Linked DNA regions of Arabidopsis thaliana. The protein of the gene in region 1 interacts with the protein of each later gene in a pairwise test. Each region holds a gene or a part of one and is shown in the gene's direction. Other genes may lie near its edges. The genes, in order: CSDP1, AT4G31420, HB-7 and AT2G02060.

The links.
Region 2: the proteins of CSDP1 (region 1) and AT4G31420 interact in a two-hybrid assay, tested with the Arabidopsis thaliana proteins (one large-scale study listed by BioGRID).
Region 3: the proteins of CSDP1 (region 1) and HB-7 interact in a two-hybrid assay, tested with the Arabidopsis thaliana proteins (one large-scale study listed by BioGRID).
Region 4: the proteins of CSDP1 (region 1) and AT2G02060 interact in a two-hybrid assay, tested with the Arabidopsis thaliana proteins (one large-scale study listed by BioGRID).

What each region holds. Positions count from the first base shown.
Region 1 is NC_003075.7:17,042,268-17,046,540, reverse strand, and holds CSDP1 (cold shock domain protein 1), read left to right. Parts: upstream 1-1,979; 5' UTR 1,980-2,198; coding exon 2,199-3,098; 3' UTR 3,099-3,550; exon of another isoform or gene 3,551-3,653; 3' UTR 3,654-3,742; downstream 3,743-4,273. Other genes in the region: ARO3 (armadillo repeat only 3), read left to right, coding at 1-1,457. UniProt on the Arabidopsis thaliana protein: Chaperone that binds to RNA, single- (ssDNA) and double-stranded (dsDNA) DNA, and unwinds nucleic acid duplex. Exhibits a DNA melting activity. May be involved in cold resistance. Prevents seed germination under dehydration or salt stress conditions.
Region 2 is NC_003075.7:15,245,288-15,249,836, reverse strand, and holds AT4G31420 (Zinc finger protein 622), read left to right. Parts: upstream 1-1,778; 5' UTR 1,779-2,073; coding exon 2,074-2,178; intron 2,179-2,448; coding exon 2,449-3,015; intron 3,016-3,106; coding exon 3,107-3,276; intron 3,277-3,378; coding exon 3,379-3,597; intron 3,598-3,693; coding exon 3,694-3,850; 3' UTR 3,851-4,021; downstream 4,022-4,549. Other genes in the region: AT4G31430 (flocculation protein), read right to left, coding at 1-82, 162-268, 432-520, 670-722, 1,057-1,327; AT4G31410 (E3 ubiquitin-protein ligase, putative (DUF1644)), read right to left, coding at 4,363-4,399. UniProt on the Arabidopsis thaliana protein: Pre-60S-associated factor involved in the cytoplasmic maturation of the 60S subunit. Involved in the dissociation and recycling of other late pre-60S factors before newly synthesized large ribosomal subunits enter translation.
Region 3 is NC_003071.7:19,164,737-19,168,734, reverse strand, and holds HB-7 (homeobox 7), read left to right. Parts: upstream 1-1,767; 5' UTR 1,768-1,961; coding exon 1,962-2,321; intron 2,322-2,541; coding exon 2,542-2,958; 3' UTR 2,959-3,461; downstream 3,462-3,998. Other genes in the region: AT2G46670 (CCT motif family protein), read left to right, coding at 3,502-3,954. UniProt on the Arabidopsis thaliana protein: Probable transcription activator that may act as growth regulators in response to water deficit.
Region 4 is NC_003071.7:492,894-498,292, forward strand, and holds AT2G02060 (Homeodomain-like superfamily protein), read left to right. Parts: upstream 1-1,851; 5' UTR 1,852-1,867; intron 1,868-2,487; exon of another isoform or gene 2,488-2,782; 5' UTR 2,783-2,797; coding exon 2,798-2,957; intron 2,958-3,151; exon of another isoform or gene 3,152-3,189; intron 3,190-3,375; coding exon 3,376-3,452; intron 3,453-3,558; coding exon 3,559-3,598; intron 3,599-3,871; coding exon 3,872-4,013; intron 4,014-4,138; coding exon 4,139-4,268; intron 4,269-4,494; coding exon 4,495-4,716; 3' UTR 4,717-4,885; downstream 4,886-5,399. Other genes in the region: AT2G02061 (Nucleotide-diphospho-sugar transferase family protein), read left to right, coding at 5,132-5,399.

The sequences.
Region 1 (4,273 bases):
TGATAGTTGAAGAAGGCGGAGTCAACCCTTTGTTGAAACTTGTAAAAGAAGGTAAAATCGACGGTCAAGAAAACGCAGCGAGAACAATCGGGTTACTGGGTCGTGACCCGGAAAGTGTTGAGCATATGATTCAGCTTGGTGTTTGTTCAGTGCTTTCAAGTATTCTTAAAGAAGGTTCGATGAAGGTTCAAGCCGTTGTGGCTTGGGCTGTTTCAGAGCTTGTTTCTGGTAATCACGCCAAATGTCAAGAACTGTTTGCGCAAAACAACGTGATTAGGCTTCTTGTGAGTCATTTAGCGTTTGAAACGGTTCAAGAACATAGCAAATACGCGGTTGTTGCGGGTAGAGCAACGTCGATGCATCACGCCGTCGTAATGGCGAGTAAAATCAGTAGTAGTAAAGAGAATTTACCGGCGTTGAACGAGGAGGAGGACGACGATAATCATATCGGAGTCTCGAGTCCGATGACGAATCAGATGCATAGCATCGTTGCAACAACAATGGCGATGAAAGCGGTTGGATCAGGATCGAAATCGAATCTTTCTAGCCGATTTGTTACCGGCGACGACGATAAACCCCCGGAAAAGATACCGGAGAAGAGTTATAGTATGAGTTCACAGATCAAGGCTTACGGTAGTATCGCACATCAATCGCGAAACGCGTCGGTGACGAGAGGGAGAGAGCTTGAAGATCCGGTGACGAAGACTTATATGAAAGCGATGGCGGCGAGAGCGTTATGGAAACTCGCTGTAGGAAACTCATCGATCTGCCGAGTCATCACCGAGTCACGAGCTTTACTCTGTTTTGCGGTTTTACTAGACAAAGGAGACGAAGAGACTAAGTATAACACAGCTATGGCTATCATGGAGATAACCGCCGTGGCTGAGGAAAACGCAGATCTGAGAAGATCCGCGTTCAGACGCACTTCACCGGCGTGCAAAGCGGTGGTTGACCAGTTATTCCGAATCGTTGAAAACGCCGACGCCGGATCCGATTTACTCATCCCCTGTGTAAGATCCATCGGAAACCTAGCGAGAACGTTCAAATCAGCGGAAACGCATATGATCGTGCCTCTGGTAAAACTCCTCGACGACGGAGAACCAGATTTAGCGGCGGAGGTAGCGATCGCGTTAGCGAAATTCGCGACGGAGGATAACTTTTTAGGGAAAGAACACTCGAGGACAATCATCGAAGCTGGAGGATCAAAGCTTCTGGTTCAGTTAGCGTATTTCGGAGAGAACGGAGCACAGATTCCGGCGATGGTTTTGCTGAGCTACGTGGCGATGAATGTTCCAGACAGTGAACAGTTAGCGAAAGACGAAGTGTTAACGGTATTGGAATGGTCATCGAAGCAAGCTAATGTACTTGAAGATGAAGATATGGAAGCTTTGTTGTATGAAGCTAAGAGCAGACTCGAGCTTTACCAATCAAGAGGATCTAGAGGCTTTCACTTGTAATTTTCCCATTGAATGAATTATTAGAAAATACTAGGATTTGATTTCCACGTGTGTTCCAATGATTTTTTATGTAGGTGACTCTGTTTTTTAACCACTATCAAAAAGTTGTATAAAGTTTTATTTTTCAATACCTAATTTTGTGTATTGACAATGAGAGATCACTGATCACCAACATTTTGTAGTTTTGAAAAGCATAAGCAAAAGCTGCAATACCATAGCCTGAAGCTAAAAGTACAATTTATTTGATGGATATTGATTTAGTAGTAACCAGCCGAATCGGGAAATAAAATATAAAAAAGGCCATACCAAGTCCAGCTTAAGCCCATCAGAGTAAAAATCTTGGACCACAAACAATTGGCCCAATGTAAAAATTGGACTAAGATCCCAATCTTATCGCGATTCACTGTAAGAAAATCATAACGTACGACCACGATTAAAATTCAAGCGTGGACGCGTGCACAGCTGATAAACGGACGTGGATAAAAAAAAAGTGAAATAGCAAGTTTCCTAAATTTCTCCAGTCCCAAAGAATATTCCACCAAAATTTTTAATTAGGCGGCATAGTCAAATTAGGGTTTAATTACATTCCCCACTAAAATTAGGGTTTTCTCATTAATTTCCTCTTAATTACAGATTTAATCCCACTCTACCTCTATATATATATACACACACACGCCTAAGGATTTCCCAACTTAAAAAACCCTAATTTCTCAATCTCTTCTTCAACTTTTTTTTTTAACGATGGCTTCAGAGGATCAATCGGCGGCGAGATCTACCGGGAAGGTGAACTGGTTCAACGCTTCTAAAGGCTATGGTTTCATTACTCCTGACGATGGCAGCGTAGAGCTTTTCGTTCATCAATCTTCAATTGTCTCCGAAGGTTACCGGAGTTTAACCGTCGGCGATGCGGTTGAGTTCGCTATTACTCAGGGAAGCGACGGTAAGACTAAAGCCGTCAATGTTACTGCTCCTGGTGGTGGTTCTCTCAAGAAGGAGAATAACTCTCGTGGTAACGGTGCTAGGCGCGGCGGCGGTGGAAGCGGTTGCTACAATTGCGGTGAGTTAGGTCATATCTCTAAAGATTGTGGTATTGGTGGCGGCGGCGGAGGTGGTGAACGTAGATCTAGAGGAGGAGAAGGTTGTTACAATTGTGGTGATACTGGTCACTTCGCTAGGGATTGTACTTCAGCTGGAAACGGTGACCAACGTGGAGCCACCAAAGGTGGAAACGATGGTTGCTACACTTGCGGTGATGTTGGTCACGTGGCTAGGGATTGTACTCAGAAATCAGTTGGAAACGGAGACCAACGTGGAGCGGTCAAAGGTGGAAACGATGGTTGCTACACTTGTGGTGATGTTGGTCACTTTGCTAGGGATTGTACTCAGAAGGTTGCTGCCGGAAACGTCAGAAGCGGTGGTGGTGGTAGTGGAACTTGTTATTCATGCGGTGGAGTTGGTCACATTGCAAGAGATTGTGCGACTAAGAGACAGCCTTCTCGTGGGTGTTACCAGTGTGGTGGTTCTGGTCACTTGGCTCGTGATTGTGACCAGAGAGGAAGCGGTGGAGGAGGTAATGATAATGCGTGCTACAAGTGTGGTAAGGAAGGTCACTTTGCAAGGGAATGTTCTTCTGTAGCTTAATCGATTTCCTAATCAACAAAACAAAAAAACAAGAATGAAATTGAATCGAGTTATATAGTTTGGTATATATTACTCTTCGTTTTCATTTATCTTTTTTTTTGTTGTTGATGGGAATGAAATTGCCTGGTCCTTTTGGTGTGTTTTTGAGCTTTTATTATTATACAGAGTGATCCCTTTTTGTTATAACTATTACAAGTTTTTAGCTTTATTTGATATGGATGCTCTCTCCTTTTCTTCTATCTGTTTCTGGAAATTTTGACCTCATCATATTACTTATGTCATCCAAAGTTTGAGTTTTGTCCTTTTTATTAAAGTGCTGCTAGTTTCAGTTCATTGCTTTTGTACTTGGATGTTTTGACTATTAGCAGCACAGGTATGACGTCTCAAGTTCAATAGTACTTTTTAACCCTTTGACACAAGATGAATCCAATCCACTGGTTCTTTTGTTGTTGGTAATTGTTATAGACTTTTTAGCTTTATCTGATATGAGTGACATCCCAATTATCAATTGTGACTTAATTAGTAACCTGTGAATTGATGGATATGATTTTGCAGTTTCATCCTTCTTTACCAATAAAGGACTGGATACAAATCTTGTGGACAAAGTTCAAGTGATGACCTCAGTCTTACCTGATTAATCCCTGCTTTGTACAGTCATTTAGGGAATGTCACAGTCGTTTTAAAGGGTTAAAAGTTTGAACCTAATTCACTATTAACTAAATCCAAGACTGATGACGAATCTTCCTGATAGAAGAAACTGGAAACCAAAGTTTGGTGTTCACCTTTTCATGTCCAAACAAAGCCACAAAATCATATGATCATTGGTTAGAAGATTATAGTAATAAACCACATATAAAAACCTGATTAGGTTAAACATCATCCACATCTCCTTGTTTATATCATCACTTGGATCCAATCAACGAAAACCTTGCTAATCACCTCAGATCGCATTAATCACTAATATTTTTCATGGTATTAAGTTCCATTGTCATATAGATGTCTCTTGAAATGGTAGCTTAATGAGCAATTTTAAGGTTATGGATCAATTTCTTTTGATATTTGGTCAGTTTTTTTTTATTCCAAGTGCAATCGAACCTGCAACTTCTACTAGTTTTACATCCAAAAACTCGGATCTTCAACCACACATGGATTTAAAGGTTATACTTCATTTTATA
Region 2 (4,549 bases), 1.8 Mb from region 1:
GAACTTGATCCTGATTTCTTCTCCTCCAACCATTTTCTTGCTTCCATGACAGCTGTATTGGACATTTCACCCACATTCACGTCTAGAAATAAAATAGAAAAGAAGACGTTATCACATAGACTAATCCGGTCTACTTGCACAGTCTACCATCAGTAACATACCGCTTGTCAATCCATAGTCATCATGACTCGTCTCAATAGCAGAGGGGACGCTGGGATGATCTACAACCCTAGCCTTGATGATATCTATTAACCTATCACCCTCTTCCCTGAAACAACATACACATGAATGAATAAGCAGGATACAAGATCAGCTTAGATTTGGTAACTACACACGTCTCAGAAAGATTCTTTAAGCTATGAGGTGTAAATAATAAGAATAGTCGAGGAGGCTGCTACTTATGATGTCCAAAAAGCCAGGCAGAGAAATACCTTGCAAATGTTTCTTGCAAGAGAAGCTGCTCAATTACACGCTTAGAACTGAGTCGTTGAATGCTTGGTTGCTGGGCACTCAGAAGGTCCTATTCACACAAGCACAAAAACTGAAATTATGCTTTTATAAAAAAAACTCTCAGTTGAAAACGTGTTAGCTTCACGAACTTTACTTCAAACAATTATCATAGGACTACAGTGGCATAGCAATCACCAAAACGAACAAGGTGGTTAGTACCTCTTCAGTAAAATCGGGATTGTTCTTCTCAACATCCTCATCACCATCAATATCTGCAAACAAAGAAGAAAACATATAAAAATCCATACATTAAAAGAATAAGACACAACAAAGCTGGTTGGTATTCTCAATCCCAGAACTACATTATATGAATAAAAATTAGAGCTTTAGAATTAGTATGAAGTTTATAGCTTAGAAGTAACCTAACTAAATAGAGTACAACAATGCTTAACTGCTCTTAAGTCCCACATATTAAAGGAAAGAGAAAATGGGAAAGCTTTAAGTCAAACTTCACATTTCAAACGAAACGGTAGCTTTCAGATTCGACCAGACAATAAACCAAAAATTCAAATTAATCCTATCTAAACTGAAATAAATGGTACAAACCTGAAGATGAATCCTCGTCCTCCTCCGAAGATGAGGAAGAGTCGGAGAAGACGACGGAAGAAATGAATTTTCCGGCGCCGGAAGCAATTACGCTGGCGGGTTTGTAAACGAGCCTGGAGATCCAACTAGGGTTTTGCTGAGGAGGATCTCGGGATCTCTGAACGGGGCGCTCACACGGCGTCCTGACAACAGCGGTGCGTCGTGGTCGAACAATTTTCCCACCGACTCGAGGCTGACCTGCTCCGGCGGCGTAACCGGAGACGGAATCCATGGTGAAAGTGAGAGGAGGAGGGAGAAGTTCGTTGTAGGAAATAATGAAAGTGTTGAGGAAAAATTGGTAATTTCTCGTTATTTGTCGTCTTCTTGTTTTTTTTTTTAATTGGGGGTGAATAGTTAGTTTCCTAAATTACAGGCCTGCGGTTAAAATTTCTTCCACTAATAAAATTAGGCAAAAACAAAACATTGCGATTAAAAAAAATTAATCGTAGTAAAATCATGTATTATATTCTTCTCTTTTCATATTTTGAACATATCACATGATGTTTAGATCTTATAAATGCAGTAATTTAATAGAGAGATTAGAATTTGGAAGAAAAAAAAGTTACATGATTAAACGAAGTAATTAATCAAGTTGTAAGTAGTTATTTTAAAAACAATATTAGAAAAATGTTTTTTGGTTACTCATACAGTAATACTTAATTCGTCAACTGTGTCAGTGTTACAAAAAGGCTAAAAGAATGGGCCAAATGGGCTACTCTTGTATCGGGTCAGGAACGGGTCAGTTCCAACCCGATCGGATCTAAAATGGGCGGGGCGCCTTCCTTTTCATTTTGATGGCAATCAATCATCATCAATCGACGCTTTTTTAGAGACAAACACGATCGCCGATCCATTTACGAGCCGTCGTTGCTCTACACATATCAACAACAAATCTTATCCTCCCAACTATCTTTTCTCTGATTTTCTTTTCTTCTCCAGTTTCCATTTCTAGAATCGATCGATATTGAAGGAGAGAAGATGCCTGGTTTAACATGTAACGCGTGTAACATGGAGTTCAAGGACGAAGAAGAACGTAACCTTCATTACAAATCCGATTGGCACCGCTACAATCTCAAGCGCAAGGTTTCATTTCTTCTGCTTTCTCTATCGAATTTGAACTCAAGCCTATCTGTTTCTCGGGAAAATCTTGCGTCGGTGATGAGATGAAAGTTTCTGAGAAACAGCTTTTCCATTTTGCTATCGAAATTGTTTAGTTAAGGTTATGGAATCGTAGAGTTTATATGAAAATTTGTTTTGAAGCTTATTCTACTAAGGAACAAGGATTTCAATAATCATAGATTTGGTTACTTCTAGGCATTTGAATCTTTGTATTTCTGTAATTTTTTATGTTAGGTGGCTGGAGTTCCTGGAGTTACAGAAGCCTTGTTTGAGGCTAGACAATCTGCTCTTGCTCAGGAGAAGAATAAATCAAATGAAGCACCTATGCTTTATACTTGTGCAATCTGTGCTAAAGGTTACAGGAGTTCCAAGGCTCATGAGCAGCATCTTCAGTCGCGTAGCCATGTTTTGCGGGTTTCACAAGGGACATCAATCAACGGAGAGGAGGATATAGCGATTATCAGGCAACTTCCTCGCCGTGTTCAACACAGGGGTTCCATTGATGATGATAGTGAAGATGAATGGGTGGAGGTTGATTCTGACGAGGAATTGGCTGCTGAAGAAGCCTCTGATTCTTTGTCTAAGTTGAATGTGAATGAGTCTGGATCTGCTGAAGATATGGATGATGATGGTGATGCAGATAAGTATGAGCTGGATCCAACCTGCTGTTTGATGTGTGACAAAAAACATAAGACCTTAGAGAGCTGTATGCTTCACATGCATAAGCATCATGGTTTCTTTATTCCCGATATTGAGTATCTCAAGGATCCTGAAGGGCTTCTCACTTACCTTGGTCTTAAGGTTTGGACTCATCAATTTACCATTCAGTGTTCGTTGTTGTCAAGCTTTGAAATTCTTACTCCTGTTTACTTATACATTGCTCATCATTTAGGTCAAGAGAGACTTCATGTGTCTGTACTGCAATGAGCTGTGCCGTCCATTCAGCAGCTTAGAAGCTGTAAGAAAACATATGGAAGCAAAGAGTCATTGCAAACTGCATTATGGTGATGGTGATGATGAAGAAGATGCTGAGCTAGAAGAGTTTTATGACTACAGCAGCAGGTTTCAACTCTCTTCTATCTCTGATTATTCTTGTTCTCGCCTGTATTCCTCGTTCTATGCCAAATCTTAATCCGCACCTTTCTTTGGAATATATGAATTGAGCAGCTATGTTGATGAAGCTGGAAAGCAAATTGTTGTATCTGGTGAAACAGACAATACTGTAGAACTCGTTGGTGGTTCTGAGCTCTTGATCACGGAGAAGTCCGAGAACACAACAACGTCTAAAACTCTCGGGTCCCGTGAATTCATGCGTTACTACAGACAGAAGCCACGCCCAACTTCTCAAGACAGCAACCAGATAATTGCCTCTTTATCTTCAAGGTTTGTTTTCTCCAAACCCGTTAATCATCCGAGTCTATCCAATCAGATAATCGGCAAGGTAAACTAAGGTTATTCCAACAAATGGTAAATTCTCAGGTACAAGAGCCTGGGTCTGAAGACAGTACCGTCGAAAGAGGAGACTTTGAGGATGAAAGTGCGCAAGGAGATGAGCAAGAGAGGCGAGACAATGCGTACCAAGATCGGAGTGAAGAGTAATGTCATAAGAAACTTGCCCAATAACGTCCCATATTAGTTTCTGTGTATGTGCCACTTGTTCTCAAGTGTTGGATTGTATGATGATTTCATGTACTTTTGAGTCTTTGACCAAGTTGTGTTGCTACTTGGTAATAAGAGTAAGCTTTAAAAAGAGTATGTTCACTGAAATAGAAATGTTAAAAATTAATACACGAACGTTGACTTCTGATTTACTCTCAATATCTACATTGTCCAGAGATGCATGTAAAACAAAGAAGAGACAACGACAAAAGGGTACTACAATATCCCAAAAAGGCTTTTTGTTTAGTTTTTGTACAAAGGCTGCGACTGCTGCGAGTAATGTCACAAGACAAACCTAAAATAAAATTTATGTGTAGAAACAAAAAGAAAAAGAAGAAAGAGGTCCAAAACCAAGAACACTGGCTACAAATAGGCTGGTCTGCATCATTTGCTTCGCTTCATTTTCCAGCTGACTGAGAAAGAACGAAAAGGAACATTACAGATTCACAAGAAGACAGTACCAAAAGCATAGAAACAGAAGGTTAATACCTAATTTTCATAGAAGCGGGTTCGACGCCTTCTTGAACTGTAAATCAGAGAAAACAAGGCATCAAGCAATGTCTCTTAAGTAACCATCATATATAGCACAAGAAAGCTACTAAACCAGGTCAACACCCCAAGCTATTATGCCAGAAATATCACACAATGGGGCCTGATTAGCTAATTTGTCATTCAA
Region 3 (3,998 bases), on another chromosome or scaffold:
GATAAGTTCAATAAGACTTTAGAAATTGATCTCTTACGTTAAATTTTAGTTGGTACTTCTTTTTGGTTTAATTTTAGTTGATACTTGATAGATATAATTTCGAATTATGTTTTTTTTTACAAATATCAGATTTAATTATTAAAAAAAGAATATTAGGGTTTGAAAATATCTTATCTAGATGGCCCAATTTAATATTTTTGCTTGTATTAATTAGTCAAAAGAAATTTCCGACAAGCAAGGTGAACGTAAACCTTAAACTAATCAGGAAAGCAAGAATTAAAGTTGCTTTTCACATTAATACTAATATTGTTAAATTGTTATCGCTATCGTGAAGAAAATAAAGTCTAGGGAATCTGCCTCAAATATGGTTTCCCTGTTGGCAAAAATTTAACTTGCTTCCATTCAAATGATGAAATGTTACGAAAAATTAGCCTTTTGTCTTTGGAGTAATGTTTGTTAAATAATCACGAGGCATTCATTCTTAAAATACCATAACATTTATAGAGGTTTGAAGTACCATAATTTGTAAAACTAAACTAGAGAAATTTTGCGAAATCAGTTGTATGAAGACTTTCTTAAAAATAACGTTATATAGACTCTAGAAAAAAACTATTATATGCCATTTCTATTTAGTTTTTTTTTCTAAAAATATATATAAATATGGTGTTGTTAACATAAAAACAGAAAAAAAGAAAAATTTAGAAAATTTTCTCAAGAATCATTATATCTGTGATTTATCATATAAGTTCAAATATGATATTAGAAACAAATAGTTTACGAGTATAATAGTATTGTCAATTTTTCAATCTGAAGTAAATATCTTTTTGTAAGGAAGGGGTCAACAAATGATCACAACAGAGTTGGCAAAAAGTTATCAAATCGCATGCACGGAAGTTTTACGTGTGGTGAAGGTAAACTTGTATTACACTTATCTATAAAAATTAGTTTAGGCTTTGATTCTAAATCAAATCTCCGATTAGAAAAAATTGCGTAAGCAAATAGCTGGAAAAAATTGTATCCCATCATACTTAAGTCACAATGTTTTGTTTTTGAGATTTGTGATGTAATCAATATATGTTTTACAATGCAAGTATAATAATATTAAAGTCACATTCTAAGAAAATTATGATTTGTGTCATACGTATACAAAAACACCCGTCACACATCCTGACTTCTGAACGTTAAATCTGTCGCACACAATCATAAAAATTTAAAAATTCACCAGAGATGTACTGAAAAGAATATAATTAATCACATGATGATATATGCATAGGAGATGAGGATTATTCATTTTCTGAAATTCCCTATATGAACCATTATAATTGTTTAGTAATCAGTTCAGAAATGCTAATCATTATATGAACCATTATAATTCCCTTCATTTTTATTTAAGATCCACTTAACAGGATTTGTTAATATGCACCCACATCACTAAATACATTGGTACGCAACCGTTGTTCCATTTCCATTTTCACATCGACCAGAATGTTTACTATGCGGTAAATTGTGTAGTATGCAGATTTTTTTGTATCATTTAATTTTCTAACACTTGTTAAGTCGAAACTAATTTTGTCACAAGTAAAAGAAATAAAAAAGGTGGAAATTATTAATCAGTAGTTAGATGATTAGTTTCGAGTTGAAATGAAACTCGACTTAACAAGTGATAGCGACGACTCTAGAAACAGCCAAAATCCGCCCTATTGCTACCTGTCGACCCACAAATCGTTTACTCAAAAATGAATAAAAAATTTACGATAAAGCAAACCCAAAGTTATATCTTATTATATGCTAAGGAGCCCTCCCAAAAAAGAACAACAAATCACATTTTTATATAACTGTTAACATAATAATCTCAGCCTCATCAACACACATATATAGATAGCCAACATCACACAAACATAGAGATTCCAAAAAATAAAAATAAAGAAAACATAAATCCTCTGAGGAAAAATTCCGATGAGATGACAGAAGGTGGAGAATATTCTCCGGCGATGATGTCAGCAGAGCCATTCTTGACCATGAAGAAGATGAAGAAGAGCAACCACAACAAGAACAATCAGAGAAGGTTTAGCGACGAGCAGATCAAGTCACTGGAGATGATGTTTGAGTCTGAGACAAGGCTTGAGCCAAGGAAGAAGGTTCAATTAGCTAGAGAGCTAGGGTTGCAGCCGAGGCAAGTGGCTATATGGTTTCAGAACAAGAGGGCTCGTTGGAAATCCAAGCAGCTCGAGACTGAGTACAACATTCTCAGACAAAACTACGACAACTTGGCTTCTCAGTTCGAGTCCTTAAAGAAAGAAAAACAAGCTTTAGTCTCTGAGGTATGTTCTAAACTCTGTTTATTCTTACATGGTTAGTTAAAATCTGTGTATTTTGTGGTTGTATACTGAAAAACTGTGGTTTTAAATATGTGATAAAATATGTGCTTTAGTGGTTATATTGCAATTAAGGACTGATTAGGTGATCAAGAAAAACTCTGTTTTGATGGTTTATTGAAGGAGAGAATAGATTGTTGATGAGTTGTTTTATACCTTTATGTAGTTGCAGAGGCTAAAAGAGGCGACGCAAAAGAAGACACAGGAGGAGGAAAGGCAGTGTAGTGGAGATCAAGCGGTGGTTGCTCTAAGCAGCACACATCATGAATCAGAAAACGAAGAGAACCGGAGGCGTAAACCGGAAGAGGTTAGACCGGAGATGGAGATGAAAGATGATAAGGGTCATCATGGGGTTATGTGTGATCATCATGATTATGAAGATGATGATAATGGTTATAGTAACAACATCAAGAGAGAGTATTTTGGTGGGTTTGAGGAAGAACCAGATCACTTAATGAACATTGTTGAACCAGCTGATAGTTGTTTGACATCATCTGATGATTGGAGAGGTTTCAAATCAGATACTACTACTCTCTTGGACCAATCCAGCAACAATTACCCTTGGCGGGATTTTTGGTCATGAAAACAATAAACTCTAAACAAGAAGATGAAACAGATTGAGACTAAAGATTGGATATATACATATTCAAATCGAAATTTACCGGTCTACATCGCATGAACCGAGCCACGGATATAGAGATATTCGGTCCAGCAAATGACTCGTTTCTCAGCGAGAATTTTGCAGGATTTTGAGCTGAAATTGTATGGTTTTGTCTGTATAAATGATGTGTTTAGAAAGACGTATATTCTCAGTTCGTGTTTGTAATTCTGTTTTTAAGTAGTAAGTACTCGTCATGCTTTGTAGCTAAGTAGTAAGTTTAAGACTAAATTTGGATGAATAAAAATCAAAAGCAGGAGAAATCATATATATAAAGTGTTATGCATTAATATGTAAAAGATCAAGAAGAGAACTAAGTTGGTGAGAAGAAACTGATATTAGGAACACGAAAAGAACCATGAAACCCAAGTTAACATCTTCTTGACTCGGAAGATTTAAGGAGAAACTTTGTTTTTTTCTCAACAAAAGCAGAGTATCAAAACAGAGTCAGTCAATTCGCAAATTCTTATGTATTTAACTTGCAGATTTGAGGAAAGCAAGTCAGCAGAAAAAGCCGTCGTTGCTTTAGAGGAGAGTACTTCAGGTGAGCCAAAGACACCAACCGAATCACATGAAAAGTTGAGAAAAGTAAGATCTGATCAAGGAAGCTCCACAACGAGCAGCAACCAGGAGAATATCGGATCATCAAGCGTAAGCTTCCGTAACCAAGTTCTTCAGTCCACAGTAACGAATCAGAAGCAAGATTCACCCATACCGGTAGAATCAAATCGCGAGAAAGCAGCTAGCAAGGAAGTAGAAGCTGGTTCTCAAAGCACCAATGAGGGGATTGCTGGACAAAGCAGTAGCACAGAGAAACCAAAGGAAGAAGAAAGTGCGAAACAACGTTGGAGTAGAAGCCAGAGAGAAGCTGCATTGATGAAGTTCCGGTTGAAGAGGAAAGATCGATGCTTTGACAAAAAGGTAAGAGACACACAAGCTTCATCATAAAAACAGCATCTGAAACA
Region 4 (5,399 bases), on another chromosome or scaffold:
CTTTTAAACAACTCTCTTTCACTTTTGTTTAATGTTATTTTAGGTGTGAAAAGGCTAATTCTTCTCTGTTCTCTCTAGGTGTTTCATGGATTACACCTTTTATATTACTTTAACCATCTTAGAATTTGCCTTGTTCTTGCATGTGCTATGATTGAATTCAATCAATGGGTGATGAGAAAATTGACCCAATAGAATAATAAATTAACATTGATAATCGTCGAATGGTTCGGTGAGATTTGCACATCCAAATTTTCCACACACAAAAAAGAATGTTATGTTTTTTATAGTCCAAAATCCAGTTGGGTTACATTATCTTACATGTATGTACAAAGTTTTATAATATTAATAAAAAAACAAGCAAAGAGAATTATTGAATGTTTTGATTGTGGTAAAAGCCATGAATCATGGACCTCCACAGTCAATTACTCATTCAATTTCTCTTGGAGCTATTTGTCTCTGCCAGACTCATTTAATGTATTATTTTCATTTGCTTCCACTTTCTCTCATACATGTATTAGTACTAACCATTTTGATTTTTGAGACTTGAACTCTCGGTTAGACATTTTATCCATCCATGCAATTGTGTTTATCGATCAATGATCATCAGTAGGATAATAAAAGGCTTTATTAGTGAATATAGTAAAATTGTTTCACTGATAAAACCTTTTGGAATGTGTTTACTTGATTATTTTGATCAATGATCATAACCTAGGTAGCTTTTTGTATTATTCTTCTAGTCAATATATAGGTAATATAAGCAACTCGTGTGTCTTTGACAAGCTGGTGACTGAATATTATATTTTAATTACCGTCTAATCAAACACTAAACCATTTTTAAAATCGTTAAAGCGAATTTTGGCATATATGCAGAGAATTCCACGTTTTTATAATAATTTAGAGAATGTGCATAAATGAGAAGAAAATGCAAAGCACAATAGGCTACATTTTAAAGGTCAATGACCTCACTTTGTGTGTAGATTTTATTATTTGATTGTTTTTTTCGTTGGGTATAGAAATGTCTGATTTATGTGTGGAATAAAGACGACGACTTTGTTAAATTATAAATTATTAAATTTTGTTCTCTTAATTAATACTCAATCGGCTTTTTCTTATTTTTTTATTATTATGGCTGATACCACGTAAACCACGAGTAAGTATGTAGTACAAATCAATTACTTTCTAATACTACATAAAAATTATATACTAGTACTTAATTTCTTACAAGAAATACATACATCATTTAAAAACAGTATTTGATGTTAATATAAGTAGTTAATAGTAGAATAGCTGATAAAATAACGTGATTTATGTCCACAATTCGTTGATTAAAATATTGAATCCATGGTTGGAAAAAACTGGCGAAATCAGTAATTATTGTCGGCTACCATATAGGGACATGATGGTTTTGGTTCGTCTTCCATGTACACCAAATCAGCAATGAGAAAAAGAAAAATGGGGAAAATAAATAATTCTTGTTATAAATATTATCCTAAGATTTATTATCACTTATTATGGGAGTGAAAAAGAAAACAATAAGAAGGAAAATGAATGGGAAATGGGAGAAAATGTAAAGGAATTAGGGGAATGAAGTCAAAACGGTGGTCCAAAAGACATAACGAAGGACCATTGTAAAATTGTGTGATTTATTTGAAATCAGAAAGTTTAACACGAAACCCTAAAAAAACAAAACAAAAAACAAAAATAGGAATAATAATTATGCTATATGGTCAAAGCTAAGCAGTTGGGCTATTTTCATTTAAATTTATTCGTTTTGGTCTAAAACCTATCGTGAAAAAAGTGAGAAAGTAAAGTTTGAGGTACTGTGGAGGAAACTTCTTCATTTGGGTAAATCCCAAATCCCTATAAGGTAAATATTATGTGTTCTTACAAAATTTGGTTTTTCTATGACAAGTATATTCTTTTGACCAGCTAAGCTAACAAATGTATGTTCAATTGGTTATATATCGATCGGGGCAAGGGTAATACTCGAATCTATGTTCTTTTCATGCAAGTTATGTATGTAGCCTTGTGTAGTTCTCTGGTACGTTGATATGCAATGATTCTCTCGAAAACTATTTAAAAAAATTATTTAAGATAATAATGAATGGGGTCACGAGTCAAGACTAATGTAACCAAAGTCAAATGGATTTTCGTATGATTACTACTTTTGTAACCAAAGTCAAATGGATTTTCGTATGATTACTACAAGCTTGTAGGTCAAAAAACACATGTCACCTCTCTGTTTAGTATAATAAACCAATTTTATAACATCATTCTTTTTATTTGCTAGTTTAATCGTCTAAATAAGTGACCCAACCATAAACCATATCAGATTATGAAATTTTGACTTTACGATAGTTTACGTATCCTCAAATTCCTCACGTATATGTCATGAACAATTCTTAAACAACAAAATTATAACTCTCTTTTAATTAATGTAGTTTTTTCGTAAGAACTCAAATTGATATTTAACAAAAAAAATGAATGAAACATTTCTCAAGTTTTAATAATTATTTTTTGGAATTTTGCAAAACATATATAGAGAGATAATAATAAGTATGAATGAATCCAAAAAGAGACAAAAAGAATAGATGGAAAAAGAGACAGTCATCTTTAAGAAAGAAGCCAAAAACAAAAACTTGCTCTTTTAATCCCAACCCACACACCTCTCAAATCCTCCTCTCCTCGTTTCTCTTTCTCTCCTCTTCACAGAACCAAAACATATCAAACCTTTTTTTCTCTTGGGTTTAAGTAAAAATCGAATCTTTGTGTCGGTTTTTAGGGTTCTTGAAACGATATGGGTAAGTCTAGTGGTAGAAATGGTAACGGAAGCTTTAACGGCAATAAATTTCACGGAGTTAGACCTTACGTACGGTCTCCAGTTCCACGGCTTAGATGGACGCCGGATCTTCACCGTTGTTTCGTTCACGCCGTCGAGATTCTCGGTGGTCAACACCGTAAGTTTATTATACTTTTTTTCTCTTCAAATCTTTTGTGAAAAAAACCAAACTTTTGTGTGTTTGTTTGCTTCAAACATCCTAAAGTTACGATATAACTAGAAAAATTGGACTTTTCTCATTCTTTTGTCTCAATCATCGTAAAAAATCAGTTTTTGAATAAAATCTTCACACTTTTGTTACTTTGTTTCATTCTTATCTTCAAAGTTTGGATTTTTATGCTAAAAAAAAGGTTTGAAGTTTCCTTATTGTGTTGTTTATCTTCATCATCGTAATGAATCATCTTTGTCAAGTTACCGAGTCAAAACCTTCACGCTTTTGTTGTTTTGTTTCATTCATAAAGTTTGAGTTTTTGTTTTTTTTCATAAAGAATCATCATAGTCACCTTTTTGATATTTTGTTGGGTTTGATGAAACAGGAGCAACACCAAAACTTGTTCTTAAGATGATGGATGTGAAGGGACTTACCATTTCACATGTCAAAAGCCACCTTCAGGTAAATAGTAATTAATTTTACCAAAAACATCAATTTTGTTTTCTTCTTTATTCATATTTCATTCATAACACCTTGTTTTGATTGTTTTGAACATATATATAAACAGATGTATAGAGGAGGTTCAAAGCTCACTTTGGAGAAACCAGGTATTATTTTTTTCCTTATAATTATGAAATGAATCAATGATGATATTTGGAAAAAGAATGGGACCGTTGATTTTAATTTGAACTGTTAACATCAAACACATAATAATGGATGGAATTTAATTATTTTACTGTATCTGTTTGTAGTATGTACTATTGGTCTAGTGTCATGATTCATAAGACAAATGTCATAAATACATTTATATATTTTTCAAGAGTAATAGAACAGAAAATAAGAGAATATTCATTAACTAGTTTTTATTGTTTCTTACACAGAAGAAAGCTCATCATCTTCAATAAGAAGAAGACAAGACAGTGAAGAAGATTATTATCTTCATGACAACTTGTCTTTACACACAAGGAATGATTGTCTTTTGGGTTTTCACTCTTTTCCTCTTTCTTCACATTCTTCATTTAGGTATTTATTTTTATTTATAATTGTTTTCTGACAAAGTTTTTTAATTTTATTTCAGTAAAAAAAAAAAAAAAGTGTTTTGCTTTTTTGTTTGTCTGTATTTGAATTGTCCTTTTACTTTGGTGCAGAGGAGGAGGAGGAGGAAGAACAAAAGAGCAGCAGACTTCAGAGTCTGGTGGTTATGATGATGATGCTGACTTTCTTCACATCAAGAAGATGAACGATACGACGACGTTTTTGTCACATCATTTCCCCAAGGTATAAATAAATTTCTCTTTTGTCAACCGGTTTGGAAATTTAATGTTGCAAAACAAAATCAAGTCCGGTTATGAGTTCTAACCGGTCTGATTGAGACTGGTCAAATCCAAAGGGATTGAGTCCGGTTTAAGTACTACTTGTCATTGAATCTAATTAGTTTCATATAAATGGCATTTAACCGGTTTTAGTCCGGTTTGGTAACTAATTTTGTCTTTTGGTTCATTAGGGAACAGAGGAGTGGCGGGAACAAGAACACGAAGAAGAAGAAGAAGATTTGTCGTTGTCTCTGTCGTTAAATCATCATCATTGGAGAAGCAATGGATCATCGGTGGTGAGCGAAACGAGTGAAGCAGCAGTCTCGACTTGTTCAGCACCATTCGTATCCAAAGATTGCTTTGGTTCTTCAAAGATTGATCTTAATCTGTCAATTTCTCTCCTCGGTAGCTAAATAAGTTATGCAAGATTTAGGTTCAGAGAAACTATTCGGATGTGTTTTTGAAACTAGGATATTGAATGTTAGTAGAGAAACCTAGAAAATGAAGTTTAGATAAATTATCAACGCAGCGTTTTGATCGCCTTTGAACGGAAAATTAACAAACAGAGCCAAACGCAGTGTTTTGATCTTTGAAGGATAACCCCTAAACGCAGCGTTTCTATATCAAGATCCTACGGTTTAGAATGTTCATTGTTATTTTGGTCGGCAATCCTACGGTAGAAAAAATAATCTCGCAGATAAAACCCATTAAACGCTGCGTTTCATCGTTGGAGGGTAAACTCATTAAACGCCGCGTTTTACATTCAAAAAACTTGAAACTACCTTATAACCGCCCAGACGATGACCAACGTCGTCAACGTCGGCGAAGATGAATCTATCGAACCGTTTTGGCTCCAATTCCAAGACGGCGATACTCAACGATTCTTACTCCGACGAGAATCATTCTTCCTCCGCCGCCGCCGCCGTAACTTCCGTCGTAATCCCACCGTGCTCCGGCAATGTACTCCGAGCCGTTCTCTTGCTCTTCTTCATCTGCTTCTGCTTCTCCCTCTACAGAACTTCTGGTTATCTCCGAATCGTCTCTGACTCTTCCTCCACCCTCTCTCGCATTTTCCCCTCTGTCAACGATTCTTCTT